2 linked regions of the Astyanax mexicanus genome follow. The protein of the gene in region 2 purifies or fractionates together with the protein of the main gene of each other region. This does not show direct contact. Links are inferred from orthologs where the notes say so. Each region holds a gene or a part of one and is shown on either strand. Other genes may lie near its edges.

Region 1 (7,380 bases), on a different chromosome or scaffold from region 2:
ACTCTGCATCAAAACCAGCTTGTGCAGTTCTGAAACAGAAACATCAGGTTGGGAGGAATTAATACCGCACTATCGACCCATCCACTTATAGCAGCCTGTGAGACAGATTAATCTGTTATTATACACAGGTTCAGTCACATTAACTGACACTGAACTACATCAGCAATGAACAAACAGTGCTGAAGAAAGATATTTAACCTCTAGCTTAGTATGATGGGCTAACCTGCCATTAGCAATAGGAACCCCTTAGCCAGTTTAGCAAATGTGATAATGTGAAAATACCCTTATCCAAAATAGATAAATTGCAGTGGTATTATTAACTAGACAAAGACAAACAAACACACCTTTGTGCCCAGAAGCATGGAGTAGAATTTCCAGAACTGTTTCCCAAAGGTGTAAAGTGAATTTCAGCGACCTGTCCTACCAGGACCTCCAGCCTTACTGTCTGAAACCCTTTTAGGGCCTCTTCAGACAAGCTGCATGTAACAGTCTGCAACAAGACAGCATAATCAGAAACCATTGCTCTGCATATTAAAGTCACAGTTCTAGAGTTGGAAATCAATGTTTTTCATAATATAAAACCAATTTGGTTAAAGATAAATATAAAATATGTGTAGTATAAAAGACCTGTTTAATTTTACAAGTTTCAAATAATTCATAGGACAGAAAATGGAACAATTAGAGAACTGTAGAATGACTGCTGTACATCACCATTATTGAAATTGTAAACAAAAAAACCCCTGAAATTCCTCTAAACACAGAATTACAGTATATGGTTTGTCATACCATTTAATATTCTTTTTCTCCAAAGCATATTTAAAATATTAAATTAAGTATATATTTTAATATTAAGACATATTAATAATATTAAAGGTATCATCCTCAGGTTATCATTGTATAAAAATGTAAGCTAACTGATTCCAAACTTTTATTTAATAGTTTTGTAATAATGTTTATCAAGCGAATGCAGTGTTATTTTTCATTTAAGAAATAATACAAAGTAATTACACAAGGCGCAATCGTCTATAAATGTCACAGAGAAGTGAAGAAGGTATTGTAATGTTTAAGGCAGCTGTGGTGGGTTCCACACTTCTGCATTTGTTGCTACTGTGTAAGTTCTGCTTTTATTCTTCGTCAACTAAATGACCTCATTTACAAAAAATAAATTTTGACATTTCAAAGTACAAAGAAATTGAACAAGCTCAGTGAAGCCCCAGACTAATTTCCAAAACTAATTCTTATAAACTTTCTTACAGTAATACACTTAGTTTTACTGTAACTCTCACACCCACACAACCAGAAAAGCACAGAACTTGATGAAAATAATTTCATTAATAAAAGAAATTAAAATTTACAGTTTCATTGGAGACACAGGGCAGGCGATGCTCTTGTATGTCTCCATCCTGCAGCCGGTCACTGCAGACAAGTACACACCACTGCAGTACTTCAGTGCAAAAAAAAAAAAAAAGTGAAAGCTTTACAAAAAGAACTGAAATAATTCTTGAGTACTAAAAGAAGCCAATATGAGTAATAGAAATTTATCACATCACCACCAACAATAAAAACCTGCTACAATTAGAACAATGCTGTAATACTCATAATAATAACAATAATAACAGAAAGAAAATTAACATCACGGTAAAATTAAAATGCACTATGAAGATGGTACAGTTACTCAACAGCACACATAATTTTAACAAATTAGGATCTGATTAGCAAACCTGTTTTTTGCATTAGGGTTACTTACCCAACAACAACGTGTTTTGTCTTAACTGCATCGTTTGAGTTCATAACAGCACACCAGAGGAGCACCAGCCACAAAATGGGATGTGGAGAGTAGAGAGACGCATAGACTTTCAAGCCTCACGCCCCCAACCTCTCATGCACTTTGTGGTTTCCTTCAGAAGGTGACAAAGTTTCTGAACTATGATGACTTTAAGACGAGAGACATTTATTTATGCACACATAATAAGTGTTCAACATTGTAAACATTTAACGTTGATCAAATTAAGACCGTCAGAGTCTAACCAGTTAAGAAAATTTGGGTAGTATGGCTTGACCTTTTCCTTTCTTGTTTAACATTTTTATTTTCAATCTTTAAAGTGTATTGTTAAAGGTTTATTTAATAAATGTTACTAACGTGAAAAATATTTTAATTGCTGACTAAGTATCTAATAATTTATTTGGTTTTATATTAATATTACTAAGAGATGAGACATTATGTGTAAAAACAGATTTCTGAATTTTTCGTGCCCTTTAACACTTTTCTTAAACATTTCAATTTGATTCATTTTAAATCTAAATCCCTCACAATTTGTCTATAGCATTTGCACTGTTCACTCCATACAGACACTCACTCTTCCATTCTGTTACTTTAAGATATTGTTGCTTGTTTTCTGGTGTATGTTGTCTTTTATGTGCAATATCCTTCTTGTATGTGGATTTATGCAATATCCCTATTTCTCCTGTTGCCCACGATATGTACTTTGTGTTGTCTGCAAGACGATGCTGTTTTTAATGTATACCTATAATGCATATGACATGAAATCTTACTTGAACTTGAACTTCTTTTTTAAAGGTACAAGATTAGTTAATTTAAACATATATAAAAACTGTCCTGTTGTAAATATCACATGTTGATGTTTACTTTATGTTATTTCACAATGTATTGTTCTTATTGTACTGTTTTAAATAATTTGAGATCAATGGGTCTAAAATGATACGATGGTGGATACCAGAAGTACAACTACAAATAATTATAATAATAGATATTTTGATTCATAATATAATTAGTTTTATTGTGTTTTACCTTTACTATGCTTAAAGGTCCAGCATCTATGTGAACTCCAAATGCTAATGCTTCGAGATTAAAAAAGCAAAATTTGAATACAATTTTATTAGACTTTATATTACATTTAAGACATGCTCTTTATGTGTTAATAGATTAGTTCTTCATGACTAACTAGAATCCCTAGTGTTTACTAATGCTAACCTGGGCCTTTAAGGAAAAGAAATGATCTAAAAATATATATATATTTTTAATTATTGTTTAAAAAAAAAGTTTTTTGGCTTACAGCTGGTTAGTAGCAATGGAAAAAAGTGTCAATTTACAAATCCTTTGTAGTAAGTGCTGGTACAGATTGTAAAAATAAAATAATCGAGCAACATTTTTTTATTATTATTAAGTAAACTGCTATCTCATTATTTTGACATACTAAATCATCATTTTAGATACTATTCCAATACTTTATGTAATTATTTTGAGATACTAAGTAATTATTTTGAGATACTATCTCAATATTTTAAGGTACTAAGTCATTATTTTGAGATACTAAGTCTTGTTTTTGGGGGGTAAAAAGTTTTTTTTTTCCCTCCAGTGAAGCCTACCAAACAAAACATACAGCATAGTCGGAGCCAGAGCCACACTCTTCAACACACTAAAATAGTAGTCCAGTTTCTGATATTAAATAAAAAAAAAAGAAAAGGCAGGAATGGGCTTCCATAGATAACTCTATGGTATGGAAGCCCATTTCCGCCACCTGAAAAAAAAAAAAAACTTCCTCAACTAAGTCATAATTATGAGATAGAAAAGTCATAATTATGGGATAGTAAGTCATAATTATGAGATAGTAAGTCATAATTATGAGATACTAAGTCATAATTATGAGATAGTAAGTCATAATTATGAGATAAAAAAGTCATAATTATGAGATAGATAGTCATATTTATGAGATAAAAAGTCATAATTATGAGATACTAAGTCATAATTATGAGATACAAAGTCATAATTATGAGATACAAAGTCATAATTATGAGATGACTTTTTATCTCATGAATATGACTTACTATCTCATAATTATGAATTAGTATCTCATAATTATGACTTACTATCTCATAATAATGACTTACTATCTCATAATTATGACTTACTATCTCATAATAATGACTTACTATCTCATAATAATGACTTAGTTGAGGACGTTTTTTTTTTCTTCAGGTGGCGGAAATGGGCTTCCATATAACTCTGTATCTATTAAAGAGAAATTCTTTTAAATATCTTTAGAGAAATTACGGATGAAGCGGTGAATACCCGTTTCTTACACCTTGAAAGACTCTTGTAAACTGGAGAAAACTGGTGGTGCATGAAGAGTCACATGGCAACAAACCTTTAGCTCAGCTTAGTCTCAGTTTCAGCAGCAGTGAAGTGCAGTAATAAAGTCAAAACAAAAATCCTATTTATAAAGCTTTATTTATATTTATTTATATAATTATATGTATAGTATATACAGTATATGAAGCCCCTAGTGTCTGCTAAAGCTAACTGCAGCGTTAGCCCCCATAATGCACAGCGAGGCTAGTTAGTTAGCGCTTAGCTGAAAACAACAACAGCAGCAGCAGCAGCGGCGCTGAATAACAACAGCGGCGGCGGCGGGGGACAGATTTCAGCACAGCGGCGCAGCTTGTGCCGCTTTTCCCGAAGCACAATGTCCGCCTGAGTTACTCTGGCTGGATGTTCGCCCTCATTTTGGCACAGGTTTTGACTGCAGAGCGCCGAGTGTGCTGTTGGACTAGTGTGTTTTAGGAGCCCCCCCCTCCCTAGGTCTCCCCCTCTCCCTCCCCGTCTATGGTAGAGCGTACTCCGGCGGCGGCGGTGCCATGAACAGCGGACTCCCACCCTCAGCCGCTCCGCTCGGGGGGGTGGGGATACCAGGCGTGAAGGTGAAGTTTTGCCGCTACTACGCGAAAGACAAGACTTGCTTTTATGGAGACGAGTGTCAGTTCGTGCATGAGGACCCGACTCTGGCCAGCATGCCTGTGCACGGCGGCGGCAGTGCTGCTGGTGGAGGAGGCGCCGCTGGAGGAGGTGGTGGTGGAGGCAGCCCTGTGCCTTTCTCCATGGCGGGAGGCGGCGGGACGGCAGCTGGGTATCCGCTTGGGGGCGGCGCGGTGGTAGCAGCGGCGGCCTGTGCGGGCACTGCTCCCACAAGTGTCCCCAAAAAGAGCGATGCCCTCGGGCCAGCTGGGGCAGCTCTGGACGGGCAACTTCTAACCAGTAAGTTGGCGCTCAGTGGTAGTGCTGGGGTCTGGGGAGGAAACTGAGAGGACAGCATGGGGCCTAGAAGCCTAGGAAGCCCTGCTTGTTTGTGTTGACTAAAGCACGGGGCCTTAGAGCGGGCTTGTTCATAAATCGAGGCCGAGGATTCAGCGAGGCCTCATTCCCTCCACCAAAACTAGTAGCTTAGCTAACTAGCTTAGCTAGCTAGCTAACTAATAGTCTCAACTCTTAAAACTACACAAGGAAACCGAGAGAAGCTTATATTCCTGTGCACTGTACAGTTAACTAGTCAGACGGAGTGTGGAAATTCTGGAAAAGTGTTTTAAAAGAGGTTCCAGCTCGTTCGTGAAGGTGTTTATATGGGCCGAAGCTGGAGCTGCACCACCTGTCATTGTTTGAGGGTGAAAAGCTGAAGCAGCCTCGCCGTGCTGGTGAAGCTAACCGCTGAAGTCAGGCAGTGTTTTTGTGATTTAACTAGAGGGTTTTGTGTGGCTGGGGAAGTTCTGGAGCTGTTACTTCTAACCCGCATTGTCAGCTCTTTCCTGCAGCAGTTGCAGGGTTTGTGTGTTTAGGAAAGCTCCTCCATGCTTTGTTTTTCAAAGTTGCTTTCTTTTATTTTAAAGCACTACTGTCTAAACAGAGAGTCCCCAGTAAGATATTTGCTCATACCTCCACCCTGAACAAGAGTGAAGAAGATAACCCTTCTTCTTTTTAGTTTTTATAATGTTTATGAATTACTACCAAAAAGCGCGGTGTGCGTCAGCTGACCAAACTGTTTACGTCTTTCCGAGCAGGCATGTGATTGGCTGATATTCAGTTGGACAGTTTCTACCTTTCTAGCTTTGCACATGCTCTCTGTTCATCTGTTTCATTATTTAGGAGCAATAACCTGAATAAACCCGTGATATTACATTGACATTAACATTCAGTGTAATGTTAACATTAAATATAACAAATGTCAGACTCCCCTATGTGGTTCACTTTAAGAGATGGAATATAGGTACTGGATAATATTTTTCAGACAAATTTGGAGAGAGGTGTAATTTTTCTCGTAATGTTTATTAACTAAACATTGCGTTCTGAATTGCATCAGTTTGTTTGTATTAGGCCGGTCATGATGATTACATTATCAGTCTATCGTACAGTAAATGAACATGTCCTCAATAATATTAGATTATCATATTATCATCTATCGTGTTTGCTTGTTCACATATGTAATGGTGAACAGTATTTTAAACAGTCAGGCAGTGACCATTTCAATAACTGTGACTCTATACACACAGTGTGAACTGCAGTAGCTGAAGAAAAAAGTTTATATTTCTCAAACTGTGTTTAATTCAAATTTTGTTGTCTTTAACCGAAAAACCTGTCCTCAGACTCTTAACTTCTCCAGTTGTAGGCCAAGGGAATAACAGCATGAATTATTCTGCAATGCTGTTTTAAAAAACCTACTATATAACAGTTGTCACGCCCCTTAATGCCACACAACCTTTTGGCAATGGCATGTAGGTATCAGTGTGTATTTGTGTGTAACAGATTTTAGTAGAAAATGATGATCTGATAGGTAAGGTGGACTATTCTATCCAATCCTGTATTACATCCCTTGTGAAACCAACACTGTAAAATGTGTTGTAAACTTTGTGTTTCTTCCTGTGAGGTCATAGTGCCATGTACAACCAGCTGTTTCTAAGAATGCCACCCCTGTTGTGCCATGAAATAAGTGCAAGTTAACTTGATAAAAACTAGTTTGCAAAAAAAAGTTTTAAAGTTGGTAAAAGCTCTCTGTGGTGCGCTGATATCTCATTTAATAAAGCTTTTTATTTTCAGGATTACAGATTTGTGTTCTAAAATTGTTTTGCTGTTGATGGGATGATTCGTGATTCCAGGGCTTGAATTCACTTTTTATTTATATACATTTTAACAGTTTAACTGGAAATTAATTTGTACAAATAAATGTTTTCGAAGGACTGATTTATTAAGTTAATGTAATAGCTTGTAACAGATTAAGGTGTACGTGGTATAATGCAGTAACCTTTAATATACTTTTAATATAAACCTTATTTATATGTCTTATTTTATCATGTCACAATTAACAAATAAGAGTGATTTGTCCCTGTTGGATACAATTCATAAATATGGATGTTTGTGTATGTCTTGTTTCAGTCCCTGGGATGGACAGTGGGGCACTGAGTGATGCAAATCTGACCAACTCCTATTTCAGCAGCAGCTTTATTGGGGTCAATGGGTTTGGGAGCCCAGCAGAGTCCAAATATTCAATGATGCAGGTGCGTATGTGAATTCACAGCCTACGTTCTTCTCACACT
Region 2 (7,017 bases):
TCACAACCCTTGTCAAAGTAACAACAATAGATGGTGTCATCTGTGGTTGAGTGTGTCAGCTTACCCGGTGGTTCCCCATCCACAGCAGCTCTTCCTGCAGGTCAAAGTGAGTGGCTGTCACAGGAATGCCGACTTCTGCAGCCACGCTGTGGAGCTCAGAGTACATGCCTTCCAGCAGGTGCACGGACTCGGGCACAGGCACGGCCAGGGCGTCAGGGTCCAGCTCCACACCCTGGAGCAGAGCAGGGTCGAGGGAGGAATCCAGGCCGGGCTCCAGGCTCCCGTGCAGGCCCGGGGCATAGTCGCCCAGGCCTGGATCCAAACCCTCGAAGTTCATCATGAGGACGGAGGTGCTACTGTGGAGCACAAACAAAACATACAGTTAAAGACATACTGAAACATACTGAAAAGCACTGAATACTCAGTTCTACTGCAAATAAGGATCTTTGGAGGACTATATGTCCTCAACAGGTTAAGAGAAAGCTTCTAAAATATCAAGGTAGCTAGCTTTAAAGCTCTAAAAAGGCTCCCCTTAATTTAATAAATGATTTGCTCAGGTTAACTAAACTTCTTTAAACTGAGAAACCATTGATTAAATTGAGGAAATGGATTTTTTTTTAATCTAAGGAACTTAAATTGCACTGGGAACAATGTATTAAACTGAAGGAACAGGTTTTTAAAACTGTGGGGCAATTGATTAAATTGAGGCAACACATTAATTAAACTGAAGGAACGATTAACTAACTAAGAGAACAAATTGTTAAATTGCAGGAGTGGTAAAACTACAGAGAGTTTGATCTACTCTATACAGAATGTTGCATTCTATAAAATTGTTGTTGTACTCTTTAGCTATTTTACATTAGGATTTTAACTAAAATATTTACAGTCATTTGCTCTCAATAAGAAACAAACGTGAATGAGCTGCTTATTTAATTTAGTCTGGTCTGATTTTGAAATTGGTATCAATGTTCAGAAATGGGTCTGGGCTCTTTTGGGTTAATTACACTGAAGGAGTGATTTAATCCTTAATGCCATTAATCATATTTATGAGAGGAAAATATAACTTTTGGAAGCTTAGGTGTCTCTGTGTATATGCAAACTTAAATTTAGATTTTGACTTTTGATAACCAGCTGATCATTCAAATCAGGTCTTTTAGAGAAAGGAAGAACCAAAAATATTGCAAGGTAGGAGAAGGTCTCTAGGACCAGAGAAAGAGTATAAACAGCCAAATATATTTCTTTACATATTCTTTCACAAAAAAAGCAAACTGGCACAGCTCACTAGCTAACACACTAGAAGCTCAGCTCTGTGGAGTCAAACGCTTGTCTAGAGCTATCCTGCCTGGAGAAAAATGAGAACAGCGCTTTACCTAAGGAGCTCCTGCTGCTGCTCCTCACTGTATGAGTGTTTTTGTCCGAGTAAAATAAAAAACAACAGCAAACAGTAACGAATGGAATTAAGCAATAGCAATAGCAAAAGCAATAAGCAATTAAGCAAACAGTTTGAAAACAGTTTCTCTTGTCTCCCAGGCGAGCCAGAATCAGTCCTGGATACAAAATCATTTATTCAGCACCAGTGATAAAACTCCCCAGAACACTGGATATGAGGTTAAAAAAACATTCAAGACCAGTAACTATAGCCCTTTTAAATATATTAATAGCTATAGCTCTCCATTATCCATTATGTGCCCATTACCTGTTACACTCATAACTCAGAACCTGTTTTACATTAGCTATAGCTCCACATTATCTCTCTGTAATGTTGTCTTGTTCTGTTATTTGTTTGTACTGTGTGGGTCGACCCGAGGGGGATGGGTTTCTCTGACTTGGTTCCTCCTAGGTTTTCTTTCTCTTTATGTAAGAGAGTTTTTCCTTGCCACTGTTGCCTCCACAATTATTGGCATCTCTGTGGTGCTTGTTCAAAAATGCTTGGACCTGTTTTCTCTGTAAAGCTACTTTGTGACAACTTTTTTTTACAAAGTGCTATATAAGTAGCTAAATATGAATTGAACTAAATTAACTTAATTTAAGGCAGTAAGTCAGAAACCTAATTAAAACTCCAGTCATGAAAAAACTAATATACAATCTTATATATAGCTCTGGAATATAATCAAGAGGAAGATGGATGACAAGCCATCAAACCAAGCTGAACTGCTTGAATTTTTGCACCAGCAGTGGCATAAAGTTATCTAAAAACAGTGTGTAAGACTGGTGGAAGTGAACATGCCAAGATGCATAAAACTGTGATTAAAACAAGAGTTATTCCACCAAATATTAATTTCTGAACTCTAAAACTTATTTTATTTGCATTATTTGAGGTCTGGAAGCTCTGCATCTTTTTTGTTATTTCTCATGCTGCAAATACACGTCTCAATTTTTATTTGGAATTTGGGAGAAATGTTGTCCGTAGAATAATACAACAATGTTCATTTTACTCAAACATACAACTTTTTACCAATAAACAGCAAAATCAGAGAAACTAATTTAAAAGCTGAAGTGGTCCCTTGTTTTTTTCCAGAGCTGTAATTAATATTAAAAATACCGTGATATAAAGACATTTTCGGTCATACCACCCAGCACTACTAGGTTAACTAGCCAGCTAGTTAACCTAACTGTGTTTTAATATAATTGCCCTGCTTCTCCTCAGGCTAAAACAATATTACGCGACAATATAATATTAGTTTTTGAGTTAAAACCCCCGTTTTTTAACTAGCTATCCAGTATCCAGCCAGCAAAGCCTACAGACCGTTAGCATTAGCTCTCGTGCTAAAGCTGCACATTCCATATAAAACAGTGAATTTCAGAGAAAATAAAAACTCAAGGGCGCTGTAACTCTAGCTATAGGAATAATATAGTCCGGTGTTTCAGCACAGGCTATAAATGTGAATATGAAGGTCATACTGTGAGAATATGAAGGGAATTAGCGGTGGCTCCTCTGCTCATCACTCCAGCCATTCAAAACAACAACAATACAGCCCGATTCCGCTTCCGGGAGCACAGACTGCACGCGGGTCACTCTGCGGCACAACACCTGCTGCAGACACCACCATCACAGTCTGACCCCCTCAAAATCCAATACATCCCTTTCAGACCTGAACTAATTCCAGTGCTAAAAAATATAAGAATGATTTTTATAATATAAGAATGTTTTTTTTCTGTCTGCAATGCATTTAAAAACAATATATGTAATGTAATAAATAAAATAATAAAATATTAAATATTAAATATAATTAAAGATTATATTTGTATTCTATATAACTTTTATATATATATATATATATATATATATATATATATATATATATATATATTTTTTTTTTTTTTTTTTTTTTTTTTTTTTTTTTTCACAAATCATTCCTAAGTGGTAAAATAAACGAAACATTTCCTGGTACCTCATTAGACGTAATACTGCCATGCTTTACTTCAGTGTGCAGATTTTTTTTAATGTAGAGGGCGAGGCTGAACTGCTGTTAAATTGGCTGATAAATGTATATATGATGGACAGCAGGTCTTAATCTTATATGTTATGTGAAATAATATGCAATAATGAAGAAAATACATGATGCCCGTTGGAATGTTGTATCTTTTTAATGGCCCTTCATTTGACCACAAGGAAAGATGTATAGTAAATTTAATCAGAATTTTAGGTAAACTAAAATAACTGATTAGTCATTCTATGAACATCTAAAAATTACACCATTTGTACTCAGAGTTTATTATATGGGCATGACACAAAAAGGTGCACCATGAGCTACAGGTATCTGCAGTTTTATCTTCTAACTCATACATACATAAACACATACGCTGATAAAGAAGATAAAGAAAATCTACCAGAGAGAAACTAATTCATTTGCCTTCCCTATTTTGCTGGATTACAGCACTGATATAAATGAAAGAGTCAAACGTCACTCATTGACTCATTTAATGTGTGGTAATCTATTTATAGAAAGCTTGGTTAATATATAACTTGTGTTCATGTTTTATTCATTTTTGTATTTAGCTCATGGAGACAAAACATTAACATAAAAACAACTGTTTGTCAGCCATATTCAAATATTGCATATGTTAGAAATATCCCAAATAATATTTAACACAACCATTTAACATTTTTAACCATTTAACAATGTTGGTAATCAATATAAATACATTCCATAATACATCATACACTCTAAGAAACAGAGGTACGATATGAGTACTTTTTTGTACTCGAAGGTACACTCTTTATAATTGTACCCTCAAAGGTACAATATTGGTCTTTACAGGGTCAGATGTGTTCCCTTTGAAGTACAAAGTCATTTCTAACGGCAGTAAGTACAAATTTGTACCATTTAACCAGACAAAAGGTACATTCAGTATTCTGTATCACTGTACTAATAAACAATATATATTTAAATTGCACATTTTTTATTTGAAAGCCAGACAATTTTGTATCATCAAGTTTTTGAGCCATATTTAGTTGATGATAATGTTTATAATCTTTATAATCTTTACTGGCACAAAAGCCATGGGTACAAAAAAGGACTTTCACTGAAAGGTACTTTTTTGTACCTCAATATAAGGTACAGCCCCAGCGACAAGCTTTGTACTCTTTTAAGTACAAATCTGTACTTATATTTCTTAGAGTGTAAGGTGTATTTCTAAATATACATCTGCTTTGACTAACCAATGACTGATCATTTATGATCATGACTAATCCCATCTTTAATACTGTAGAAATCAAAATAAGGCTTCCCCACTCATGACAGGCTGACAGAAGATAAGAAGGGAAAAGCCATTTTTGATATCATACAGCGGTGTGAGAAAATATTTTTTCACTGGTATTTTATGTCCCTGTACTTTCTGACAGAGTTATTGATCTAACTTAATCAAAGGGAATTTAGTGGGGCAGACAGAAGCTAACAGTCACGTAATACTGAGGGTGTGAATCTGAGGCCTGACGTAAAGAGACACACACTCAGGCTATCTGTAAGAATGACTTACAGATGAAGCCACCAACCCACTTCCTCTGTACAAAGTTCAGCACGTGCTCCTGAACCACAAAAAAGAGCACAACATTTCTGCAACTGTACAGACTGGACAATAAGATCATTACGGCTGGAATTCTAGGAATATCGGGGTCTGTGTGCCAAATGATGGAAATTCTATGAGAGCCATGAGAGGTGTAGTTTAGGCTTCGTTGGAATTAAAAAATTGCCCCAACCCCAATGAAACTCTGCGCTGAGAGATGAATGATGGGATTTGGTTTAGTTGGAGTTAAGGCTGAAGTGAGAAATGTACACTCTGACTCTATTGTTTTGTATTAAATGGAAGAAACAAGTGATGTAATCAGATGAAGGTCACATGGTGGTTTGGTTGAGTGTAGATGTAGTGCTTGTAAGCTGCTGACAGATTTTGTGTGAATAATAAATCACACATCCTCCATGTAGGTTTTATATTGTTTACATTGTTTATATTGCATCATACACTATATATATATATATATATATATATATATATATATAAAATTATATATATATAAATACTGTATAATGCAATATATAGCTGGAAACAAAACTATATATATATATATATATATATATTTTTTTTAAATATATATCTATTTTCTGTCTGTGACATTTTAAGGGAGACCTTTGGGAGACAAATTAAGGATTTAGTTTTGAACTAAATGACTTTTTAAGAAACTTTTTATCCATCTAAAAGAAGCATTTTCACCTGATGCCAGTACTGTGCCGAATTCAGCACCACTGCAAGGAAAAGCACCCCCTCTCGGCTTCTTGGCTTTAACTTTTTTTAGAAAATGAAATTATCCAAAATGCTGTTATAAGCTATGCTGACTCCTAAGAAATAATGAAAATAGTCATGTCACCTGCAGCCTCTCCCATGAGGAAGTGCTGAATTCGACCCCGTGACCCTGACAGATAAAGCGGGTATTGACGATGAATGAATTAATAGAAAAAAAAAACATTAAAATAAAAGTAAATTTGTTGTACAAAAAGCTAGAAATGAGACTAAAAGGAGATGTATATCTGTTGTTGGAATTAAACTATGAAATAACGCTAACATAGATTTCATGTTCAGTTTTCAAAAAATGGTATGTAGGGCAATTTATAAAGATCATTTATATTATTTAAAGATTAAATTATGTTAATGTTTTTTTCTTTTAATACTGTAAGAATTCTAAAGGATTGCATAATTTGCTGACAATGTTTGTAGTGTTGATAGTTATTGTATTATATGATGATTAACTAGCTAAATAAAGATTTTAATTATCATCATCTGCAGATACCCTGTCAAAGATGCTATATATAAAAAAATCCAAGTAAAATAAAACAGTGTAGCAGAAATTGACCCAGTTTTAGACACAAGCTGTGGCTGAAGGGGGAAACATAGTGGATATCTTCTATGCCACCATCTTGGATTCAACTTGAGATTTTAAAATTAGAAGTAAGTGACTGTCAGTAAACTGGTAAAGAAATTTCATCAGAAAAATAACTGTATGCTTTATATCATCATGACGACAACACCTGGATGAACCTTTCCGGCATTATTATTGTATAGTCAGGTATATTGATGCTTTTAAATGACAAGCAAATATAGTATAGTATATATAGTGAGATTGAGCAAATTCTGTAAACCGGAGGTGCTCAAACCTGGTCCTGGAGATTTACCACCCCTAAGCCAACACATCTGATTTACGTAATAACAGTTTACAATCATCTTGGTATTAAAAGCCAGGTGTGTTTCAAACTCCTCAGAGCAGTAGATCTGTGGTTTGGGCACACCTGCGGTGAACTTTAGGGTAATTTTCTGATTTCACATAAAAACACAATTTGAAGATGAGAATTAATAAATTTCCATTAACATGAAACACCACAACATATTCTTCTGGTGGAATTCCCTACCAGTATGATGCATTACACACCTTCACACTGTAAACTCTGAAGTTGAATGAAGATGGTGTCATTAAAGATGACCATTATATTGGTGACATGGCCTAAAACTGGATCACCATCTGCT

The links. The genes of interacting proteins can lie anywhere in the genome.
Region 1: the proteins of pan2 (region 2) and pan3 purify together in Homo sapiens (co-immunoprecipitation; 5 studies listed by BioGRID and IntAct, with this or other methods). This does not show direct contact. The link is inferred for Astyanax mexicanus from reciprocal best matches to the Homo sapiens genes PAN2 and PAN3.

The regions. Positions count from the first base shown.
Region 1 is NC_064408.1:96,473,911-96,481,290, forward strand, and holds the start of pan3 (PAN2-PAN3 deadenylation complex subunit PAN3), read left to right. Parts: upstream 1-4,362; 5' UTR 4,363-4,656; coding exon 4,657-5,053; intron 5,054-7,219; coding exon 7,220-7,341; intron 7,342-7,380. Other genes in the region: receptor-type tyrosine-protein kinase FLT3, read right to left, coding at 345-490, 1,356-1,444, 1,748-1,778. UniProt on the Homo sapiens protein: Regulatory subunit of the poly(A)-nuclease (PAN) deadenylation complex, one of two cytoplasmic mRNA deadenylases involved in general and miRNA-mediated mRNA turnover.
Region 2 is NC_064420.1:44,624,563-44,631,579, reverse strand, and holds the start of pan2 (PAN2-PAN3 deadenylation complex catalytic subunit PAN2), read right to left. Parts: upstream 3,005-7,017; 5' UTR 2,902-3,004; intron 357-2,901; 5' UTR 341-356; coding exon 65-340; intron 1-64. UniProt on the Homo sapiens protein: Catalytic subunit of the poly(A)-nuclease (PAN) deadenylation complex, one of two cytoplasmic mRNA deadenylases involved in general and miRNA-mediated mRNA turnover.